Arabidopsis thaliana: one gene and its partners. The protein of the gene in region 3 interacts with the protein of the main gene of each other region in a pairwise test. Each region holds a gene or a part of one and is shown on either strand. Other genes may lie near its edges. The genes, in order: APA1, ZFP8, BLH4 and LSMT-L.

Region 1 (6,412 bases), on a different chromosome or scaffold from region 3:
GCACACTGTGGATTCGAAACTTTCGCGTTCAAGCAGCAAAAAGAATACTTGAGAGACCTTATTCCAACACTTGAAACTTCTTTGCGATTCTGCCGTCTGAATATATATGTTTCGAGTTTGATATCAGGAGCTTGTGGTTTGGTGTTATCGCATCTTGTTAACATGGAAGATGATTGGGAAAGATCAGAGAATACAAAACAAGTATAGGTTTGCTTCTTGTTTAAGTGTTTAGCTAAGGTAGAAATTAATCAATTCTTCTGCTATAGGAAACTGTAACTCGTTGTAACTTGTTCATTTCGCAACAAAAACTTCTCGAATTGGTTCTTATTTCCTTCCATATACGTATACAGTCGCTGCAAGTGGGTTGTCATTATAATTTCTCATAAGTTCACAGACTTGTTCAAAATAGATACTTGTTCCGAAATTCAGGAAGGATGCTGCAAGCTTCGTGTTGGGGAATTTACCTCGCTCTTGACGAATTATTAAGGTTTTAGAAAATTGGGTCTCAAACAGTCTATCAACTTAAAATGCATGTTTCAAGCAGGAACGTTCTTCAATATATGACAAATAACTATTATCATCGTGACTTTTTGACGTAGGAATTTATGTGGTTAGAAAATGAAGATAAAGCGAGCTTGACCATTTTCAAATTTTTTATGCTACACCGTTTTTACCGAACCATTTGATACAACTTACTAAGCATAAACAAAAGAGGCAGGCTTTATTAAAGTTTTCAGTTTTTTCACCATCGAACTTACTTAGAAGGTATTTACAAAGCCAATGCCTTCAAAACTACAAAGGCCTTTTTTCGTTAGGAAACAACTTAAAAGGAACTGCGCCACCATTTCTACTACGACTCAAAGTCCTCAACTCCAGAAAACATACAAACAACACTTGAGACGCAGATTGTTCATACTAAAACCATACGCGACACCAACCCGATCGTGTTTAGGCTGCCTCTGCAAACCCGACCTGTTCGTTACCAAAGTCAAATACGGTGTGGTATTTGCCCATGAACACATCTCCCAAGATCCTGTTACATTTTTACCACCGTTCTTAGGGTTAGAAAAAGAAAGCAAGAAGAAATTGTGCTACAGAGTAATAGATTCAATGGTTTACCAGAGAGGTCCACGAGGTGGAGCAACGTCAAGAGCAATAAAACCACTGATGCACTGTGCCACAGGTCCCTCACCAACTTTCAGAACATACTGCTCACATCATACCAGTACAACAGATTAGTAGATGGTCATATTCACTACATAATATGAATGTTGTCTTTAAATAGTTCACTATCATACCTCTTCTGGAGCAAGATCAAATACTTTGCCTCCAATGGTAAGTGAAACAGTGGGCATTGTTGACAGTTGTGCACAGTCAACTGCAGACTCTCCCATTGGGCTGGGGAGGCGTTCACATAGCTGTTAAGAAAACCCACAGTAGCGATTTATAATCAGTAATCAGGACAACAATAACTACTGTTTCACAAAAGTCTTGAAATGACAACTTATTGGTTACCTCGTTGACGTAGTTCAATATGCGCTCTTGAGTCATGTTTTGCCTCAACTGGCTCTGGATCCACACAACAGCCATCTCACATGCAGAACACGCAGCATCTCCAACACCATTAGACAATTTGGCGTTTTCCTTGTCCACCACCGACTCAATGCCCATACTAGATAATTTATAAACAAAATCATACTAAATATGAGCAGATCACACGGAAAAACAAACAAGCATTCCAAAATGAAGATCCTAGCTTAATGGCAATGACTACAGATTATAACTTTACCTGACACCACGGGTACCATCAAAAGTACACAGACCAATCTGCGAGCAGATTTTCTTCGGTTGGGTCTGCAAGGCGCAAGGGGGATGAATGGTAAGCCAAAATAATTTGCACAGCATATGACTTGTCACAGATTTTATTAGCTAGTCCAATATTAAGCACACTAACCTCAGACAAAAGTAAATCCAAAATGGTCTGCCCGTATTGATCCACAACAGTCTTGCACTGCTGGCTAACAACTCCAGCTGCTCCAATAGCATGGTTTATCATGGTGATTATAGTCTACACAGGGAAAAAATTGAAATATTACTACATATACTAGTTAAAAAACCATAATTCTATAAAGCTATAAGCAATTTTAATTCTTGCTTACCGTTGGACCGGCAAGCAAAGATGTACCAGAATCTGCTATCGCAGAACAGCCACTTTCACAGAACCCTGTATAACAGTAACTCAAACTTTAGAACCAGTTGTCACCAGCAAACATAAATAGCAAAACCTTTTTGAATTTGTCAGGAAAAGCTATATATATGTGTTATAAAGAACAACGCCAATCAGTGTTACACATACCAGTGGGTGCACCGCCAATAAGAACATCACCCATGTCAAACTATAACAAAATATATATAGCTTGAGTTAGATCGTCACTGGAAAACGTTATGAGAAAACCAGACAAGGAAGTGATGTATCACAAACCTGCCAGTAGCCCTTTTGTGTCACAGGAACATATGTATGTTTGCCCTTGAAATGATTTGGATCAACACCTCCAAATACAAGTTCACCACCTTCTTCTTCATCTGCATTACGGTTAAGCCAAAATGAAAAAACCGGCTCCTTGATAAGGCCTTGCTTGAGCATGTTGTACCTGTAAAAAACAAGACATATTAGCATTAACACTACAGGAATGTAGTAACTCAGTCCAAACAAGAGAAGAATGTGCAGGCATACCAAACAGGAGCAGCTTTTCCAACAGAGATCTCTTGGAATCCAAGACCAAGGATACCATCAAATTTAGCTACAACAAATGTTATACCAGGCTCCTTGGTTGCCTCGATAAACTCCTGATGAGATAGACAAATGTTAAGAAGGAGGTCATTGATGTGTATGTTGTAAGAGTACTGATTAGGGTCGGACATATAGTTTACCTGATCCTTGACAACTAAATCGCCAACTGTGACAGCATCATTACTAAAAAAACCAGCAATTGCTCCAGTGCCGTAATGAATTGCGGCAGCTTTTCCTGCATCAAAGATGAGCAAGTTAGTTATAACCTAGCAGCTGCTATCAGTAGTGATGTTGCATCTTTTAACAATGGTTTTCTGCACATTAACATGAATTCTAGAGGCTACATTGAGTGAACTGTAAAGTATCTACCAACTGGGAAATCCAACTGCAAAAAATTTCAAGTTAAGAGAGAGAACAAACCATTCTTCTCATATGTGCTTGAACGAGACGACTTGTATTTGGGATGCAAGAGACATGCAAGCTGCAAAAGAGATAGAACACAATTAGTTTTCTACTCAAAAGTATCTCAACCACAGCTAACAACAATAGTCCAAATGTTGCTTACTGAGAAATAGCATTTTGATGATGGCACCCAGAGGTTAGAGCTCCCAGTGTCAAAAACCACAGTGAACTTCTGAGGTGGAGTACCAATGGCGATCTCACCATAGTACTGAGCATCTAGATAATTCTTAAGCACAACAACATCAGCATCTCCAGAATCTCCAAGTCTGTAAGCTCTCAGGGGCTTTTCTTGCTTGGATTCGACGCGTGCTGCAAGCCGATTTTTCGAATCCAACTTGAGTTTTTTCAGTCCAACTCTGAAGGTCCCGTCATTGCGCTCAGCAAAGGCAGAGAAACACAGGAGGAATGACACAATGAGTGAAACAGCAACCGTTCTAGAGTATATCTTCATTTTACCTATTCATTGACAACAAAAACCAAAAACATAAAACAAAGAAAGTTAGAATCAAGAGACCATCACAGAGAAAAAAAGCAGAGAACCATACCCATAAAAGTCAACCAGTATGTATACATATATTTATATCAGAGAGTTCATATTGAATGATGCAACATAAAAGAAAATTTGTAAAGTGACTAAAAATAGGCTAACTCGGTCCTCCTCCTCAAACAGATAACGAAGGACAATGTTACACGCAATATATTGTACAAACTACAAATTATTAGTTTAATTGGTCTCTCTCAATCAGCCACGAAGCAATAGCGTGGAAGCAATAAATAAAGTAAAAACTCTCTTGACTTTGCAAATGACTAAAGACTTCTTTTGCTAGAGAAAGTGATATAAACCTTGAAATCGACATTTGCTTGCCGAAATCAGAAAGCAAATACCCAGATTACAACAAAACCCTAAACATCCGTTCCTATAAACCTTTTCAACATAAATGGAAAGTTTTGTTCAATAAGACAAGCAATCTAGTAAAAAAAGGAAACAATCTCAATTGCACCAAGACTCACATGCAACATAATTGATTCATAAGACACTGAAAATCGCCACAATCGCGACAATAACAAGAGCATGAAATTTATTTTCTTCTTCTCAATCAACTAAAAACGATCACAACTATAATCGATAAATCTTCAAGTAAACAGTCCGATTACGTAATCAAACAAACCTAAAACCCCAAATAAATTCATACCACCGATGAAACCAAAATTAGCCACAAACCATACACAGATCACAAAATCTAAGCGAGTCTACTAATCACATCATACAATCATCCAGATTCAAAATCGAAGAACATGAAATTCGGTAACAAAACTCTTACCTAACTGCTCAGAAAACGATTTATGAACAAATCCACGAGTATTAAGGACAATAAATTAAGCAGAGAACTAAAAGTATAAGACAATCAACGAGAAGAGAATCGATAAGTTTCATAAGAAAGAGAGCTCACCAAAGCTAAAGCACCAGATTCTCAGAGAAATGAGGATTTTTGTTGAAGAAAACGAGAAGAGAGATGGTTACATTTATTTGCGAAGAAAGAGATGACTGTGAGGAGGGATAATGCTAAATTAACCGCGCTGTCTCCTAAATGGACAATTACAGGTGGAGGCCCACTGTATAATCCCGTCAAAAAAAAAAAGGAGATTTCGTGTGGGCTAATGTTTCGTTATTAGCCGTTGGATCTCTATATTGAACGATTGGATTTAATCGTTGACGGATGGATAGGAAGGCGTAACGTATCAAGTTTTATATTTAGTGAGAAATCACGTGTTTACGAATTTAGAGTGGATTACGTGCTCCTTGGAATACTAACCGTTGGATTGAGATGACTGAAATTGAACGGTTTCGATTAAAGAGTTCACCTTACATGGATAATGATCAATGTGTTGTTTATATTGGGCCTATGAGAAGCCCAATGTGTTGTTTACATTGAGATTATCTTCCAAAGATTACTTCACAAATCACAACCCTTTAAACGAAATTCTAAATAAAAGAAAATTCAAAACTATTATATACTGAAATTACTATTTTGTATTTTATAAGGTTCTCATACATTTTATTTTTTTTGTTAAATGGTTTTTAGATAACATGTTAAAGAACAAATTTTGTTGTAAAATATCAGAAAAAAGAATAGTACGTTTGTTGACATATTGTATGTAAATATTTCAAATAATCTGAAACAAAACCACGAGTCCTCTTGGAATACTTTATACTAAAAAGAAAGGTGAAATTTTAAAAACAAACCGAAACCTAAAATAAGCAATATTAACAAGCACATGACAAGATTGATTCTTAAACTCTTTAACAAGACATTCCAAGCTTACTCAACACTTCACACCACCAAATTATAATCTCATAACTAAAAACTACCCAATAATCAAATCTAAACTCCTAATTTTTGAACAATGTCTCCACTTCACTCTTACATTATCTTCTTCTCCCTTCTCATGACCATCCTTCTTCAATCATCAACAACATCATCCCAATCAAATCTCTGCAGATCTTCTTGCGGCAACATTCCGATAAATTACCCTTTTTCCATCGACGACGGTTGTGGTAGCCCTTATTACAGACACATGCTCATTTGCTCCGACAACGATACCAAGCTCGAACTTAGAACACCATCTGGTAAATACCCTGTTAAATCTATAAGCTACTCTGATCCTCACCTTCTTGTCTCCGATCCATTCATGTGGAACTGTCAAGATCGAGACAATTTTCGACCCACTAGATCTTTTAGCATCGATTCAAGTACACACTTCACTGTCTCTCCTCAAAACGACTACTTGTTCTTCAACTGCAACACCGATAAAGTTATCGTCGAACCAAAACCGCTCTTCTGCGAAAGGTTTCCAGATAGATGTGACTCGTCCTGCGATAGTTCTAGCTATCTATGCAGACATTTGCCTGAATGTGGCTCTGCTTTGGGATCTAGGGTTTCTTGTTGTTCGTATTACCCTAAAGCGACTCAATCTCTTAGGCTCATGCTGCAGGACTGTGCGACGTATACAAGTGTGTATTGGAGGAGTACAGGTGTGGAGAATGCACCGTATGATCAGTTTCCAGAGTACGGGATAAGGGTTGATTACGAATTTCCAGTGACAATGAAGTGCCTTCTTTGCCAAGAAACGACTAAAGGTGGTGGAGTTTGTGGGTTT
Region 2 (3,353 bases), 7.4 Mb from region 3:
GATGAACAAGGAAATATGGTAGACAGCTTGTAGTTGATGATTCTCTTTGAACTGCCCAAAAAAAGGTTAGAAAAGAAACTAAAGAAGAAAGCTTTTGAGGAAAGGCTTTAGCTTTAGGTTCTGTGTGTTGAGAAAGATGTGAAAGCTCTATCTTTGGCTAACTCTACACTTGTAATCATGGACCACTTTCACTTCTCAACTCTCTCTCTCTCTCTCCCCTTTTGTCTTGTCCATTGTCTTCAGTGATCCCCACAGTCACCGAATCATCATCAACATCTGCATTTACCCATCCTTCGTTGCCTCTTGATTCGGTAAAAGACCGTTTTAATTAGACAGAGACCCTAAGCATTTTGTATCTAAAGAGTCTTCTGGGGTTTTTAATGGTTAAGACTTTAAATATCTCGACTGCAACAACAGAGAGAAAGTACGTGTGACTTCCATGGCCCTTAAATTAATGTTCCTCTTTCTCTGAAAGTTATAGAGAGTCTTGAAGGAAGCCATAACAGAACTCACAAATGAACAGATGAAATCAAACAAAAAAAACGATAATTATATCATTCACATTCACACACACGTGAGAGGAAATTAAACGGATGAACGAATTTTACTAATTAACCAAAATATTATTCCCTTTATTAATATAAACTCAGAATGTGAAAACCTCAAAAAGGTTCAAGATGATCTACACACCAAACCGGTTCTCGTTTTCTTTTTCTTTTTTTCAGTCTCCAACACTCTCAAAAGAATTGGCTTCACCGATCAGCGAGTCTCATATATCACAGCAATGATGGATGATAAAAAAATAAAATAAAAGAAGTCAGAGATGAAGATCGAGACTCACATGATCTTGCACATTGGGTTTCATCAATCTGTACGGCCAGTTATTAGGCTCCTTATTAGTCTCTTGCTCATGCGACCTAAACGCTGAAGCTGGTGAAGATGAGTAAACGCCTTGAATAGTATTTGTTGACGTGGAAGGCGGTACACGCCACAAACCTAAAGGACTTCCGTTGATTGTCGGTGGGTTAGAAGAAGGAGGAGCAAGAGTATTCCTTGAGTAGTACGACGGCGTTTGATGTCCCCCTCCGCCGTAGTATGATCTAGCTTCCGTCGTCCAAGACGGATAGTGACGGTGGTGGTGGTTGTTGAGGAAGCCGTAGATGTGGTGAGGGTCATGAGGCTGATGATGATGAAGGTATGATGTCATGGAACCGCGTTTGGCGTGTTGACGTTCACGTTTGTGAGCGTTTTGATGTCCACCTAGGGCTTGAGAAGTTGGGAAGTTTCTGAAGCAGTAGTGACACTCGAATCTCCTGTTGTTGTTGTTATCTTTGTCTTTGTCCTTATCTTTTTCTTTGTCTTTGTCCTTGATATTCTCAGAGCTCTCATCGTTCTTGGTAGTGGTTTGATGATCAGAAGGTTCTGCGGATAAGTTGTCGGAGTTATCACCGACGAGCTCTTGGCCGAAGAGACGAATAATGGCGGCTTTTTCTTTGGGAGGAGTACGGCGGATGAAAGGAAGCTGAGAGAAGGATTCAACGTTGACGTTCATGAAATCGTGAGTTTCTCTTCGTCCGTTGGTTTCGTCCATGGAAGAGAGAGATCAGGGAGAGTGAGTTTGAGAAGAATGAGGTTGACTGTTTCAGAGACAGAAAGACAAGAGATGAGGTTTTGCATTAATTTAAAGAGAGGTTCCCAAATTCTTTTTAAGGTAAATACATAATTGCTATTTAACCCCTGCAGCATGGCCGCGTGCGTGATTTTACGTTTATCCACCTATATATATATAGCTAAAGAATGATCCACATTTCACTTGTACATATTTTTCAAAATAAATAAATCTACTTCTTCATTAGTTTTTTTATGATCTCAATTTTTTCATTAGTATATTAGATTTTTCCTTTTGAAAATCAAACCTCATAGAATTTTAAAATTGACTCCATGGTGCATGTTTATATTTTATTTTTTTCGTTAGTTCATGTTTATATAAACCTGCAATTATGGTTGGAAAAAAAAAAAAACTAATTAGCGTATGGAAGCATAGGAGACGTAAATATGGGGTATATATGGAAGCATAGTACTATACTATATGATTACAGATTTATCTTGTGTTTAAATTGTAGCTTACTATGAATCTATACCGTGTGTCGCGGTAGGTAAAAATAGCCGGATAAAATCAATCAATATATAGGGAGACCTCTAATCTACATTCACTTCCCCTACGCAATATATCTCTCATTAGACATACATATACAAATATCCATCTCATCAAAAACAAACCCATCAATCCTCCTTTTTCAAAGTTATCTCCTTTTTAGTTAGTTGTTTCTTAAAGTGATTCCTGCAAATGTTGAAACTAAGACAAAAAGCTTACCAAATTGGTCGTAAGCAGATGAAATGGGGTCACAGTGAGTAATGAGATGAACTAAAAACAGTGAGAGTTTGTAGGTAAGAGATCATTAGCAAGGTGAAGTTAGGTGTGTACTCTTTAACATCACGGACCTATTTGGTTATTATGTCTACGTATAAGTACATGGATTTTACTACTAATAGAGAGAGAGAGAAATAGAAAGACCTAATTAAAGAGACTTCTTCTCTCTCAAGGACCATACTTTTAGTCTCTTGGATGTTTTGTCTCTTTGATGCAAAGATAATCTTACAGAGAGAGAGAGGTGGTCCATGTTCATGATCATTAATGATGCTCATAATCGACTAGTTGACATGTCATCACCAGATAGTTAACCAATTTAAAAGATTGAACCTTAATCGATGAGATCACATCATCTTATCAATATGTATGTAATCTGTTAATACTTATCAACTCGGATCGATCATATACACGTCTTCTTCAAATGAACTATATATATATATGTATTCTCTTTTTGTTCGTCTACACTAAATTTTTTGATATTTTGTAAGAATAATTAAATTTTAAATCCCATTAATTTTGATTATATATATTCCCTGATTATGTCACACAAATAATGTATATGTTGCTAATGTCAAGCTGGAATAAGGACTATAAAACTCATTAATCCATAAATTAATCTGACCTTTTTCATTTCTTTGACGACTCCCAAATTCCCAATTAAGTATGACGTTCAGTTAGTTGTTTTGAGCGGTAAAAATTTTCTCCTGTACAATGGTTGGAATCAAATTACTAAACAGTCTAAACTAATCCTACGAAAACTAAGATCTTGTAAACTAATGCTGATTGCTTACTATACACAGTATTCAAAGTTTTCATTTAGTACGTATCGAATCATCTCTTATCGTTCTATATACTCCAATATGGATCATCCATTTGTGGATAGATAAACTATTCCTTTTTTTTTGGTCAACAGATAAACTAT
Region 3 (7,844 bases):
TCTCCGTCTCGATTGACATATCCCCCAATATGACATGTAACCAAACCTTTGGAGTTTTGGATAATTGTTTCTCAGAGAAAAAAACTAAAGAACCTAACTCAAAAGATTATTTGTTTTCTTTTTAAACAAATATGTCACGTTTTTCTTAACTATTTTACTATAAACTGAAGATAATACAATTGTTAATAAGTCGATCGGGTACGTACCAAGTATATTTTGTTGCTATTACTAAATTAAGGAGCACATAGTTGTAGTAAGTAGGGATTAGTTGAGATGATTAATTTGATATTACAAGGAAAGTGATGTGACTTATTGGCGCTTTCCTAAAAGACTGTTGTCGCTTATTAGCAAAAATCAAATGGAAGAATCCAATAAATGCTACACGAAATTTAGTTTCCAGAAAATATATGTACATAATCATAATCTAAAACAAAATTTAGAGTAATTTGGCAGGGGTATTAATATGAACAAAAAATTAGTATGAACAAAACTATACAAAAATGTAAGGATATAAGTTTCATGAATAAAATAAAAATATGTGCATAATTATATATGGAACTTTGGTAGCTAGATCTCACTTGATATATGTATATCTCTCTTCTTCTTACGACAGAAAAGACAGAAAAAAAAACTAAAGAAGAAAGGAAATTTTAAAAGTATGTGAAGAAACTAAAAACATATATCGATAAACCAAAAAAATAAAATTCACTATAATAAATTTTGATGAATAAATTGAGAAACAAAGAAGACTAAAAATCTCCAAAGTCTCTAACGGAGAAAGAAGTGTTCTTATCAGGAATATTGCCAGAGTGGCGTAGACCAAGCGTAAGAGACACGTCACCAGTCTGTTTGGTCCCGAATCTTATGACGTTCACACCATCTCCGTCGACGTGGAAGTCACTGACGTCTTGCTGACACGTGGCGACGGTGAACGCGTCTGAACCGCCGTGAGAAGCGGCGGCGACGGAAGAGAGGAATGAAGAGTCGTTTTCGTGATGTGTCGATGTCATCGTCGTTGGAGTTTGTGCGGTTATGACAGTGAAGTTGTTTTCATTGTTGTTGGGTTTCGTGTCGTTGTTGTTTGTTTGTTGCTGTCTTCTTTGTTGTTGTTGATTTTCATTTTCTTCTTCTGCTTCTTCTCTTTCTTTTGCTTCTTGTTGATACATCTCTTCCACCATTGGTTTCCATAGGCGAACCCTAGCATTTATGAACCAATTTGACACCTGAAAAAACGAGACATATGAACTAATATTAATCACAATTTACTCTTAACAAGTTTATAATATTAAAAGAAACTTAACTTTTAGAAGGAAAAAAAAACTTTTCAATGAAATGTGAAATACTCCTTTTTACATTAAATATGGTTTTGATTGTTTTTGTATATACTTCATTTGTTTTATATTAAGTAAAGTTAAAATAATAAGTCATTTACTGTGAAGAAAATTAGTTTAAACAAATGAAACAAAAAAAATAGGATAGCTAAAACCTTAAGTTAAAATGATAGGAAAGGAGTAAAAATTATGATACATGTGTTTCCTTTGAGACATCTATTAAAAAGAAGATATATATTAAATTTTTCATTATATTCTTACAAGAACAAGATAACTTTTGACATGTTTCAAGTAATTTTGATTTGATGTTAACTTATGTATTTACTGAAAGGCTTAGATGAAATTTCTAAATTAAAAATTTGAAACATAATAATGTTTTTTTATTTGAACACATGAAACATAATAATGTTAAAACAACAATTTGAAGGTTGAAATATACTAATGGATATTTGAAGCCAAGTGTAATAAACTACTTGTGATGTAAATAATTAATGTGTACAAGACTTAGAGGTCTGCTAGTTAACATTGAAATGAAAGCTTCAAACTTTCATGTACTTGAGAAATACTTACATCTCTCTCTCCTATGTTTTATATATCCTTGTGTGTGTAAGTGTAGATAATGTATTTAATGAAGAAAACGAACCCCAAGAAAAACAAATGATTCGTGATATTGAAAATCCATGCAAGAGAATAGACATGAAGCCACTCATGTCAGATTTTGCATGATGAAATGATTGATATATATGGTAAATTGTGAGTTAAGTACATATATGTAAATGAGTAATTAAAAGGGTTCTTGTATGATAAGTATGAAAACATATTATATTAAAAAAATATTGATGTATGTATCTATATAGATAAAGGCTGACCTGATTTCTGGATAAACCAGTCTGTCGTGCTAAGAGGTGCTTATCAGCATCGCTTGGGTACCTGAGAAAGAGACCAGAAAATGACTTCACAATCTTTAGAACCCTAAACCAATAATTTTTTTCTTTTCTCTTTTTTTGAATATAGATAGAGAGGAAAAACACAATCAAGTAGATGCAAGAAAAGGTACAAACTTTCTCCTTACAAGGGCGTGAGAATCTAAGGGACAAAAGAAAAAGCTGATTTCAGAATAGAAGCATTTTATTTTATTTTTGTATCTTAACTTATTTTTCATCATAAAGCAAAATATTTATCTGTACAACTCTTCTCTTCTTTACTTCACTAACAACAAAATAGTAAAATTCTGCAGACATTAAATAGAGAAAGTACTGATGAATAATGACAGAAGAAATTGCTTTTTTCAGCTTTTAGATTTTTTTTTTCCTCTTTTTGATTTCTGTCTTTCTTAAGGGACAATATACCAATGAAACTGTACCACTGACAAATCTGAGACTTATTTTTTTGTAGTTATGTTAATGGCATTGTTACTTCTTTTGATAATAGTATGTGGAATGAATTAAAGCAAATTAAAGAAAAAAAAACTATAAAGGAAAGGTTAGGCAGAGACAGAGAAACCCTTAGGATGCTATTATGATCCCAAAGCATAAAAGTTTGCGATCTCACTCTGCAAACTTCTTTTGTTGCATTAATTATTTAAACCCTTTAATTTGCCATGCAATATAACCTACATTAATATAAATATAAACATACAGTTTTCATGAAAGTCTCCTAGTCAATGAATTGTTACCCTTGTTATTTTGGAGTACTCTTAGCTGACCATTCTTATGGGTGGTATGAAAAGGAAAAAATATTTGATATTTAAATTTTTATTAGTAGTAATAAACATAAAATAATCAAACTCAGTGAAGAAACGGAACTTCATTTTACAAAAATTATTTTGGTTTTCTAAAAAAGCCAGCAGCTTTTAATTTTGATTGAAATAGAAATATATCTTCCCGCATAACAAAAGAGTTATAAAAAAAAAAATTTTTTTGTCACTTTCATAACTTAAGTTTAATAAACGTATATTAGTTAAAGTCTTGGTATCAATGCATTATGGTAGTCTACATTTTATAATGTATAGTCAACATTCAAGAAGATTAGTATTATCGAAGAATAAGAGTAGGTAAGTATTATTAAGGGATTAGAAAATGGACTTACGGATTAAGAAAATGCTCGAATAGCCAAGCTCTAAGGATATTAACGGAGCGTTCAGGCAAACCACGTTGCGGTCTCCATGCCTCTTGCTCCATCATACCCATATGATGAAACGCTCGTTGCTGACGCAAACTCTGCTCTAGCAAACGCAATCGCGGCGTTTCCCCTTTGGTTAACCCCGAGGATGCAGCCCCTGCCGCCTCTTTATCCCCTAGAAGCTCACAGCTGCGTTTAAGCTGAACCGCTACCGCGTCTTTCAAACACCGGAAATGCCTAGACATTGCCTTTTGAGCTAATGTCGTGTACGGAACCGCCGCGCCGTAACCCATTACTTGGTCGAATGAGTTCACTACCATTTGCATTTGTTCGCAGTAGTGGTTGTACCGTCGGTCCACCTACAAATTAAATTTTAAATAAATGAACTATACATAGATGAGTTCTTGTTTTTTTTTTATTAGCTCAATTTCTAAGATAAAATATAAACCTCAAGTGATTAGTTCGTTTAGATACTTCAATGTGTTATCTTCTCTTGCTAACAATTTATGCTATCTTGGAACATATACTAAATTCTTGAAAGAAGATAATGTCAACTACAAAATAAATTGTAAGATAAATAATGAAGTAACTTCAAGGACTAGTTTTGGTTACGTAGTGAAGGTGGCTAGCTTATATGGAGAAGGAAACTCTAATTTAAAATTTATGGTTGTGAAGACTAAATCACTTAATCAATCATATATTAATTTCTTATGTTAAATTTGATTAAGCGATGCCACCAAACGCGTGACACAAAATATGCATTAATATATCAAATTAGACCATATAACACCATATAATGATATTAGTTAGAAAAATTATATAAGTGATAGTAGGATTGCGTAATCAGGCTTTACCAACTAGAGCATGTGTCGTGCTCTTGTACCAGTCGGTCATTCTCTATACATTTATTTTTTTAAGAAAATAACATATATAGAGTTTATGAAAATATTGGTCGATTTAGAATTAATTATATAAGAAGAAAAAAATCACGAAGAAAAATAAAATTTTGTAGCGATTGATATGAAATTGGTTGTTTGATCAATTCAATCATTAGAACGGTTCATTAAAAGTTTGATAGAAAATTAATTAGTTTGGTTAGAGAAAAAATATTGAGTGAAAACGTTACCTCTTCAAGCATAGATAGTAGCTTGACTTTTCTTCTTTGATGTTCAATCCGATCAGCCGGAGACAAAGGAGGACTATCATTAGCTGTTCCGGCCGATGACGAGGACCCTCCGCCTCCTCCTCCACCGGTAGTATTAGGGTTTGAGTTGTTCCTACTAAGTTTGTTCTTCTTGAAATGTCCTCTTCCAACACTACAAAACTCTTCCAACAACTCTTGAGCCGGTTTCGTATATTTCGAATTCCTCAACGTGTAGATCCCTCCAATGGATGAAGAAGCCGCCATGGGAGATGATGATGATGAACCAAAATGTCCAACAACTTGATGGTGATGATGTTGAGAAGAAGAATTCTCAAGAAGAAGATTCTTGAACTGATTGAATTGATGATGATGAGCGGATGCGTTAGAAGAAGAAGAAGTTCCATCAACGGCTGCACAATAAATGCTTCTATATTCCTCGGCTTTAGCTGCGGCTAATGAAGATGAGAGAGATAAAGACAAACCCTTTCCTCCTTCCACGTGGACGGTTCCGATCATATCTCGGTTTTGATGATGATCGGAGGAGGAAGATGGCCATGTAAAGTGTTGTTGTTGCTGCGGCTGCATAGTGTTTTCGTCGGTGAAAGCAAAACCTTGATGATGATTTGGTAATAACATATGAAGAGTTGAGTTATTGTTGTTGTTGTGACGGTTTTGTTGCTCTAGCAACTGTTTAGTAGACTGATCAAGAATCTCTCCACCGGAACCGCCGCCACCTCCGCCAGGGTAAGCAAACATTTCAGACAACATTCCGGCGGTTTCATAAACCGGAATTTGAGCACCGGAGACGACGGCGGATTCATCTACTTCCTCTTGATGAGTGGTTGATGATGATCGGTGGAATCCATTAGAGAAGGAAAAGATTCCTTGGTGATGATGATAATCTTGTGACATAGAAGAAGTTGTAGTAGCTAAACCCATATCTTGTTATTCATTATATCTTTTTTCCAAAGCTCTTGGATCCTGTAAGGATTCAGACATACACAGAGAATCTTATATAACACATACAAAAAAAAAATACAAGAAAAAGAAAGAGAGAGAGAGAGAGAGGAGTCAACTAGGTATTATACAGTTTTTCTCCAATCTCTTTCTTGTAACTCTTTTAAGGTTCTCACTTTCAGCTTCGGTCATCATCTACATATATGGTATAGAGAGAGAGAGAGAGAGAGAGAGGAAGTACCTTGGAGTTGCAGAGAATTAAAGAAATGATTGATGATGAGCTTATAGCTATCGTTTTCTTCTATACCTCTCTCTCTAGCTTTCTTTTTCTTGAGTACTCTTTTTATTTTATATTTCTCTGTTAGTGAGAGTTTTTATTCAGCAAATTCTGCAAAACCAAAAACTTATAAAAAAATCTCTCCCAAAGAGAAAGGAAGAGAGAGGGAAGAGAGAAGAAGAGGTCGCTGTTCTTTCTTCATCGCCTCCCTTTTTAACCCACCAATCTTCTTTAATATTTTTTTGTTATTAAAATCTTGATTTATCATTTTTTTATAATGAAGTATTTTTATAAACATCTTCTTTTTAATTTTAATCGGCAAAGGTTTCTTCATATCAATAACGATGAGGAGGAAAGACAAAAAAAAACTATACACATCCTGAAATTACGAAATTATCCTTGTTTTTTTTTCTTGTCTTTTTTTTTTGTCAACGTTATTATTTATTTATAAGAGAAAAAAAAACTTTTTATCACGGAAATGTCGGCTGATATCAACATTTTAAAGGAGTTAATTTGGAAACTAATTTATGAAAGCAAACTAAAAAGAATAGGAAGATAAGGTGAGTCCAAAGGTCATATCTCAATGAACCAAACCACCACCATAAATACTTCCACATATTTTTGTGCTTCAATATATTCTTATTTCGAGCCAAAATAAAATAAAATAAAATATTCTTATTTGACAAATTAAATACTTATATAATATTCCTATGATGCTCTCTAATTTTATTCTTTAATATTGTGTGTATTTGTTGTTTAGGGGAGACCTATGTCATTTTAGACTACTTTTTCATGTATGTACATTTATTCAATTAACTAATCATACGATATATCAAAAATCGATCAAATTATAATATGAAACAAATGAAATACATAAAAATCGATCAAATTATAATTACATTTTGGTAACATATGTGGCTAAATCAATTATTTTAAATTTCTTTGCAGAAACCGCTATATTACATCTATCATCACGAAATCGTAAAAAAAAAAGCATTAGAGATTACCTCAAGCTTGATATGATAAAGCAAAAATCTAGCTGCAAATCGAGGTTGTTTCATTTTGTGTTAATTGATTAGGAAATATCTCATTCTGTGTTAAACGATACTCTCAACTTTCAAAATATTATTTTATATCTATATTAATTAATAAAACTTTATCACTCAAAGATTATTGAAATTTTTTTAAAATTGCTTTTTAGATTACCCATTTTAAAAAATATCCCTTTAACAATAATATTTTTAAAAATACCATTGTTTTAAAAAAAACCTTGATGTTATGACAACATGCCTGATGACTAAACCTCCAAATCATCTTTACAAAATATTTACTAAAATCCAAAGATTAATCCTCTGCACGATTTCACGGTCGGCCGATAGCCTTTCACCATCATCGATGTTTGTAATATGTAAACCATCCACACACAACTAATGCATGGAAAAAACGAAATTTTATGGTTCTGTAGTTTCACAACTACACCTTCAGCTATCTCTTTTTCTAAACCTATACTTATAAAATTAATTTCAGCCATACATTATAATGACGTTGTATAGATACAAACACAATTATTTTCTGTTAAAATTAACGTATCATTAGTCATTACATTATCCTAGGTATATTAAATATTAAAAAAAAAAAAATTTCCAAAATCGATTTGACGTGCGTATCCATCCCACAAACAGTTAGAGAGACATGTTGGATATATGCTATGTAGGTTATAAATCCACAATAGGATAAATACTAATGGAAGGCTTGAAAGCAAAAGTGAAAAGCCCACTTGTATATATATCTATGGAGACTTATGTTGGAATCTATCATGCCAGAATCAGATACCAAATCGAAAATTGTGTAGCACGCAAATTTTTGTTTGAACTATTTACTTAATCTAAATTAATGCAAGTGATTTCTCAATAAATATTATTTTTTGCTAACGGATAATTTAGAATATTTTTGTTGCCTATAAGAAATTGGACTATTTCCTAAATTCAAAACTGTTTGGTTATTTCTACCAATT
Region 4 (4,343 bases), on a different chromosome or scaffold from region 3:
ACCTGTGATTCTATATAACCATTATTGGTCTATATCTGATTTGAATTTGCAGATACCTTGGATATAAGAAGACAATCCTGCTTGACCGTAAGAGACTCGTGGAGCTACTAGACTTACATCACAACAAGACCCTCACGTGGGATCAGTTTGCAGTAGCAGTCAAGGAAGCCCATGAGAGACGAGCAGGAGCACCTACTCATCGAAGAGTAATCTCTGACAAACCTAAGGAGGAAGATTACTTCTACGCAAATCCTCAAGAATGTCTTTGTGAAGGTACAAATTGCCACGACCTGTTTGGCCATAGAAATTTAACACATTGAAGTCATGTTTTTAGCATATTATATCTCATTGCTTCCGCAAGAGGACGGCATGTCAAACACTTGAACGGGAGCTGCATAGTTCCTTCCCTGAGTTTTTCCATTTTTGTTTGTAATTTTTTTCAATTTTCCTGCATAGTTGCTGATCTTGATTTATTTAGTTTTACGTAAATTAAGATGTAACTAAAAAGAAGATTATGTCTCATCTTATAGAATTTCAAAAAGCCTGCTTTTGGCAATAGCCTAACATACAAATTGTGGTCTCTCAACTCTGATGTCTTGAGGTTGATTCAAGTCTATGTGGTCTGAGACCAAACCAGTAAAGATTTTCTTTCTAGCCTTGAGTTTGTTCTGCAGGATAAGCTATACAAGCTAAGCTAATTCTCACTTGGTTTCCCAGAAGATAATATCCCCTTGTTCGCCAACCAACCCAAGATCTTTGAGCCTTCTCTCTTGGTAATACTCTAAAATGTCAAGTTCAAGCTCTCTATCCTTGAAGATTTGGTCGATTTGCTGAAGCACTCTCTTCTCACCAATCCTTATCTTGAGAGCCATTTCCAACCTAGGCTCAAGCTTTCCTTTGTCCAGAAGCTTCTCATCCTACAACAGACGATGAAGACGAGTAAGAAATGAGTGTTAAGCTGCAAAGACAGTACAAGTAAGAGCTCGAACATATATACCTCTTCAATGGTCGTATCAAAACCAGACAGAGCAGATTTGCAGGCATCTCTGACAACACGGCATATGAGTTCCTCGTTTGTACGACTTACAGGCAATTCAAGATGACCCCATATGGTGTTATTGAAGATAGATTCTAATAAGAAAGCATCTGGACCGCCAAGAGCCACAAGCCGAAGGTACTGAAGCATACCAGCGGGAAGAGTCTGGCCGTCTACTATGTCAAAGTATCCGGTCTCACCCATCTTGTTACTCTCAGCAATATCCAACTTATCCCCAAAGAATGGGTCTGATTCTGGTATCTCTATTGTTAAAGTATATGAGTTCCGTTTAGGGTTTGATTCCACAAAACCATAGTCGAGAGCAAGTTCTGCATTGCTTTTGTTCAGATCGTACTGAATGTATACCTATGGAAGAGATCATCCAAACAGTATTAAAGGGCTTGTTCTTACACTCTTGAGGGAGAAAACTAAGTAGACAGTGTTTGGAGCATACCTGCTCACCTGCTTTAACATAAACAGGTGACTTCAAGGAAAATAAGAGATCTCTAGAGAAAAGGCCGGCTCCTTTGATCTCGTATGCATAATCTTCTGTCTTTATCGCGGGGTTATGGTTTATCTGTTCAAATTCAAACATTGAAGTCAGAGATTCTCTGCTGAGCCAAGCATCAATGAATGAAGATTATTTTCTGAAGTTTTCACTAGACAATATCTGAAACAAGAAGATAGCTTGCCAAGTCTGCAAGAGGGATCAAGACAAGGTTTTGGCCACGGAGACGAGAAAAAGCCCTCGACTTGAGGATCCCAAACGCCCATATGAAGTCATCAAGTGTTATGCGGGATGAGAAGAGATCTTTGTTAGGCAGTAATATCTCTTGTTCCAGTTTCAAGAATTCATTCTCCACATACTCTTTCACACCCAATGTGGTGCTCAACAGTTGAGTCCCTGAGCCAAACAACAGTAACCACAAAGTTAATAATGTACATCATCATCAGCTACTGCTACTCAGACCAATTGGTATGAATCTAAACAATGATCAGACTTTTCAAAGAAAAGGGTAAGAAAATGGACCTTTAAGCTCAGCAAGCTCCTCTTCTGACCTGTACTGGAGACATTTCACGAAGAAGACATCTCATCAGCTTAGTGTTGATCAGAGATACAATTGATGATCAGAGAAGGACAAAACCCACCAGAAGACAGTAGAATCAGTAGATTGAGGAAGCATATCAAGATAAACTCTCCATGAAGACTCTTCTTCATACTTCTCTCTGATCAAAAACAGAGCTACTGAAACCCACGGCTTTAATCCGCCGCATAAAGGTCCAATCTTGGAAGCAGTCACTGTCTCTGGGTTTATCCACAATCGCTTGGGAATCTCCAATACGACCTCGTTTCTTCCAATATCACGCCTGGCTACAAGTCCCAAACCTTCCGGTACCACCGCAGGTTCTGCCACAGACTTCCCGGATACGACTCCTTGGTCTCTGAGCCATTTCCAGAAATTCCGAACATTTTCCGGCAACTCTGAGCTTGAAGCTGAAATGGGTCTCACCAAAGATTTCTTGGGTCGAGAAAAGAGAAAGGAAGGGTTTTGAGACTTTTGAATTGACGGGATACGGAGAAAACCCGACACGACGGCGACGGAGGCTGACATGGTGGTTTTCCGATGGCGGGTAGTATCAGTGAAACAGAGAGTGTGTGGATAACAATAATATCACATCAGTTTTTTCTAAGTTGTTGATGAGACAAAAATCTAGTTATTCTAGTTACCAATGTTAAAGGCCCATTATTCTAAAAGGCCAAGGCCTACATTTTATTTTTGTTCTGATGTAATTAAATTGTTAATTGTCTGTATTTATTTTCATTTTTAAAAAATTATCTTTTTAACTTATGGTAGCTTCAACTTCTTTTTCTTTTTTTTTTTTGTCATCTCAACCTTTGTAAGAAGAAAAATGGTCAACTATAGCTTCAACCTCAAATCTACTGACTTGACACTTGAGTTTTAAATAGGTAACATCTCATGGAGATCCCAATATTCATTCTAAATTCCTCCAAGATAATGCAACATGTTACAACAACAACAACAACAACAACAACAACAACAACAACAACAACAACAACAACAAAAGAGATTGGCCGAGACATATATGTAGTATGTACCCACCATATCACACATACCTTCATAATCATCATCATCATCATAATATCAAGTGGTCTAATTCAAATGTTTTTGATTTAATTATGTGTTTAAGTAGTTCATATTTAATTGTGTGCTAAAATACTTATTGTAATTGAAGAATCAAATATACAAGTCTTATTCACTATTCTTAATCAAATAGAAATTAGTCTTAAATTTGTAATTTAGGGGGTACAATGATCCACTATTCTCCATCAACGTAGAAGACAAGTAATTTACTTTGTAATATAGGTAATGGTACGTACGTAGTAATCACATGTAAAAGCGGAACTTTCCTTTCTCTTGTTTTGCCGGCTTGACCACGGGATATGAGACCAGTAAGGTACATGTGTAATGTGATACCTATCAGAAACCCTATTACACTCTTATCAAAAAACAAAACAAAACCTATTACACTCTCTCGGCTTAATTAAGATTATGATCAATTCCAAATATGTTTCTGATATAACTTTAATTATTAACGAGAAAACCAAAGTTTATTGCTACTTTTTTCCGTCGAAATGGCCGCTATTTTAAGTTTTAGACAATAACTTGGTCCATGAAATTAAGGTACAACGTCGATATTGATTAAGATCAGTTTACTTTTGCTAATATAACGTGTTAAGTTTGAGATGGGAGACACGTGAATGACTTTTCATTACTTTCAAAAATTGTTCAAAATTCCAAAATTGGCAACAAGACTGTTTTAGTTGTTAATATGCAATTAGACTGTTTCAATAGAGTGTATTTTTCTTTGTCAAAATGTAATAAGTACTAATTTGTCATACAAAATATCAAATGTCAAGAACATAAACTCTTCTAACGGAACCGCTTGTCGCGCCGAAACTCGTGTGGTAAACCTGAAAAACAACTCACTAATCGCAATTTTAAATCAGAGACTGAGAAAACACTTCTCACGAAAACCACAAAACGCGGTCAATATCGGGATGACGACATGATGTGGTGGTCGGATTGACACAATTCAGGTTGGTCAACAAAATTCATCCCTCTAAAATATATTTTCTTAGTTCGTTGCCAAACAGATATCTTACCTTTACTCTTTTTTTTTTTTTTTTAAAAACTCATATAAATAGGATAGTTATTAAATTTAACTACAAATGGTATTGTATATGTATATTCTATGGCTAGGTGAAAAGGCTTCCTTTAGTTCG

The links.
Region 1: the proteins of BLH4 (region 3) and APA1 interact in a two-hybrid assay, tested with the Arabidopsis thaliana proteins (one large-scale study listed by BioGRID).
Region 2: the proteins of BLH4 (region 3) and ZFP8 interact in a two-hybrid assay, tested with the Arabidopsis thaliana proteins (one large-scale study listed by BioGRID).
Region 4: the proteins of BLH4 (region 3) and LSMT-L interact in a two-hybrid assay, tested with the Arabidopsis thaliana proteins (one large-scale study listed by BioGRID).

What each region holds. Positions count from the first base shown.
Region 1 is NC_003070.9:4,016,171-4,022,582, forward strand, and holds APA1 (aspartic proteinase A1), read right to left. Parts: upstream 4,596-6,412; 5' UTR 3,827-4,595; coding exon 3,799-3,826; intron 3,710-3,798; coding exon 3,357-3,709; intron 3,273-3,356; coding exon 3,212-3,272; intron 3,027-3,211; coding exon 2,932-3,026; intron 2,848-2,931; coding exon 2,735-2,847; intron 2,652-2,734; coding exon 2,483-2,651; intron 2,397-2,482; coding exon 2,357-2,396; intron 2,225-2,356; coding exon 2,160-2,224; intron 2,069-2,159; coding exon 1,955-2,068; intron 1,855-1,954; coding exon 1,790-1,854; intron 1,673-1,789; coding exon 1,516-1,672; intron 1,419-1,515; coding exon 1,299-1,418; intron 1,209-1,298; coding exon 1,120-1,208; intron 1,034-1,119; coding exon 949-1,033; 3' UTR 542-948; downstream 1-541. Other genes in the region: AT1G11905 (B-cell receptor-associated protein 31-like protein), read left to right, coding at 1-52; AT1G11915 (wall-associated receptor kinase galacturonan-binding protein), read left to right, coding at 5,660-6,412. UniProt on the Arabidopsis thaliana protein: Involved in the breakdown of propeptides of storage proteins in protein-storage vacuoles. Possesses aspartic protease activity in vitro.
Region 2 is NC_003071.7:17,505,794-17,509,146, reverse strand, and holds ZFP8 (zinc finger protein 8), read right to left. Parts: upstream 1,805-3,353; 5' UTR 1,592-1,804; coding exon 818-1,591; 3' UTR 531-817; downstream 1-530. UniProt on the Arabidopsis thaliana protein: Probable transcription factor required for the initiation of inflorescence trichomes in response to gibberellin and cytokinin. Is not involved in the regulation of trichome branching. Is functionally equivalent to GIS2.
Region 3 is NC_003071.7:10,107,202-10,115,045, forward strand, and holds BLH4 (BEL1-like homeodomain 4), read right to left. Parts: upstream 5,805-7,844; 5' UTR 5,685-5,804; exon of another isoform or gene 5,578-5,684; 5' UTR 5,536-5,577; coding exon 4,579-5,535; intron 3,812-4,578; coding exon 3,420-3,811; intron 2,418-3,419; coding exon 2,201-2,417; intron 1,224-2,200; coding exon 750-1,223; 3' UTR 508-749; downstream 1-507. UniProt on the Arabidopsis thaliana protein: Transcription factor that establishes leaf shape by repressing growth in specific subdomains of the leaf. Negatively regulates knox homeobox gene KNAT1/BP expression.
Region 4 is NC_003070.9:4,804,792-4,809,134, forward strand, and holds LSMT-L (Rubisco methyltransferase family protein), read right to left. Parts: upstream 2,727-4,343; 5' UTR 2,650-2,726; coding exon 2,186-2,649; intron 2,096-2,185; coding exon 2,067-2,095; intron 1,941-2,066; coding exon 1,729-1,940; intron 1,614-1,728; coding exon 1,491-1,613; intron 1,403-1,490; coding exon 998-1,402; exon of another isoform or gene 918-997; coding exon 702-917; 3' UTR 515-701; downstream 1-514. Other genes in the region: AT1G14020 (O-fucosyltransferase family protein), read left to right, coding at 53-320. UniProt on the Arabidopsis thaliana protein: Protein-lysine methyltransferase methylating chloroplastic fructose 1,6-bisphosphate aldolases. Can also use with low efficiency gamma-tocopherol methyltransferase as substrate, but not a cytosolic aldolase.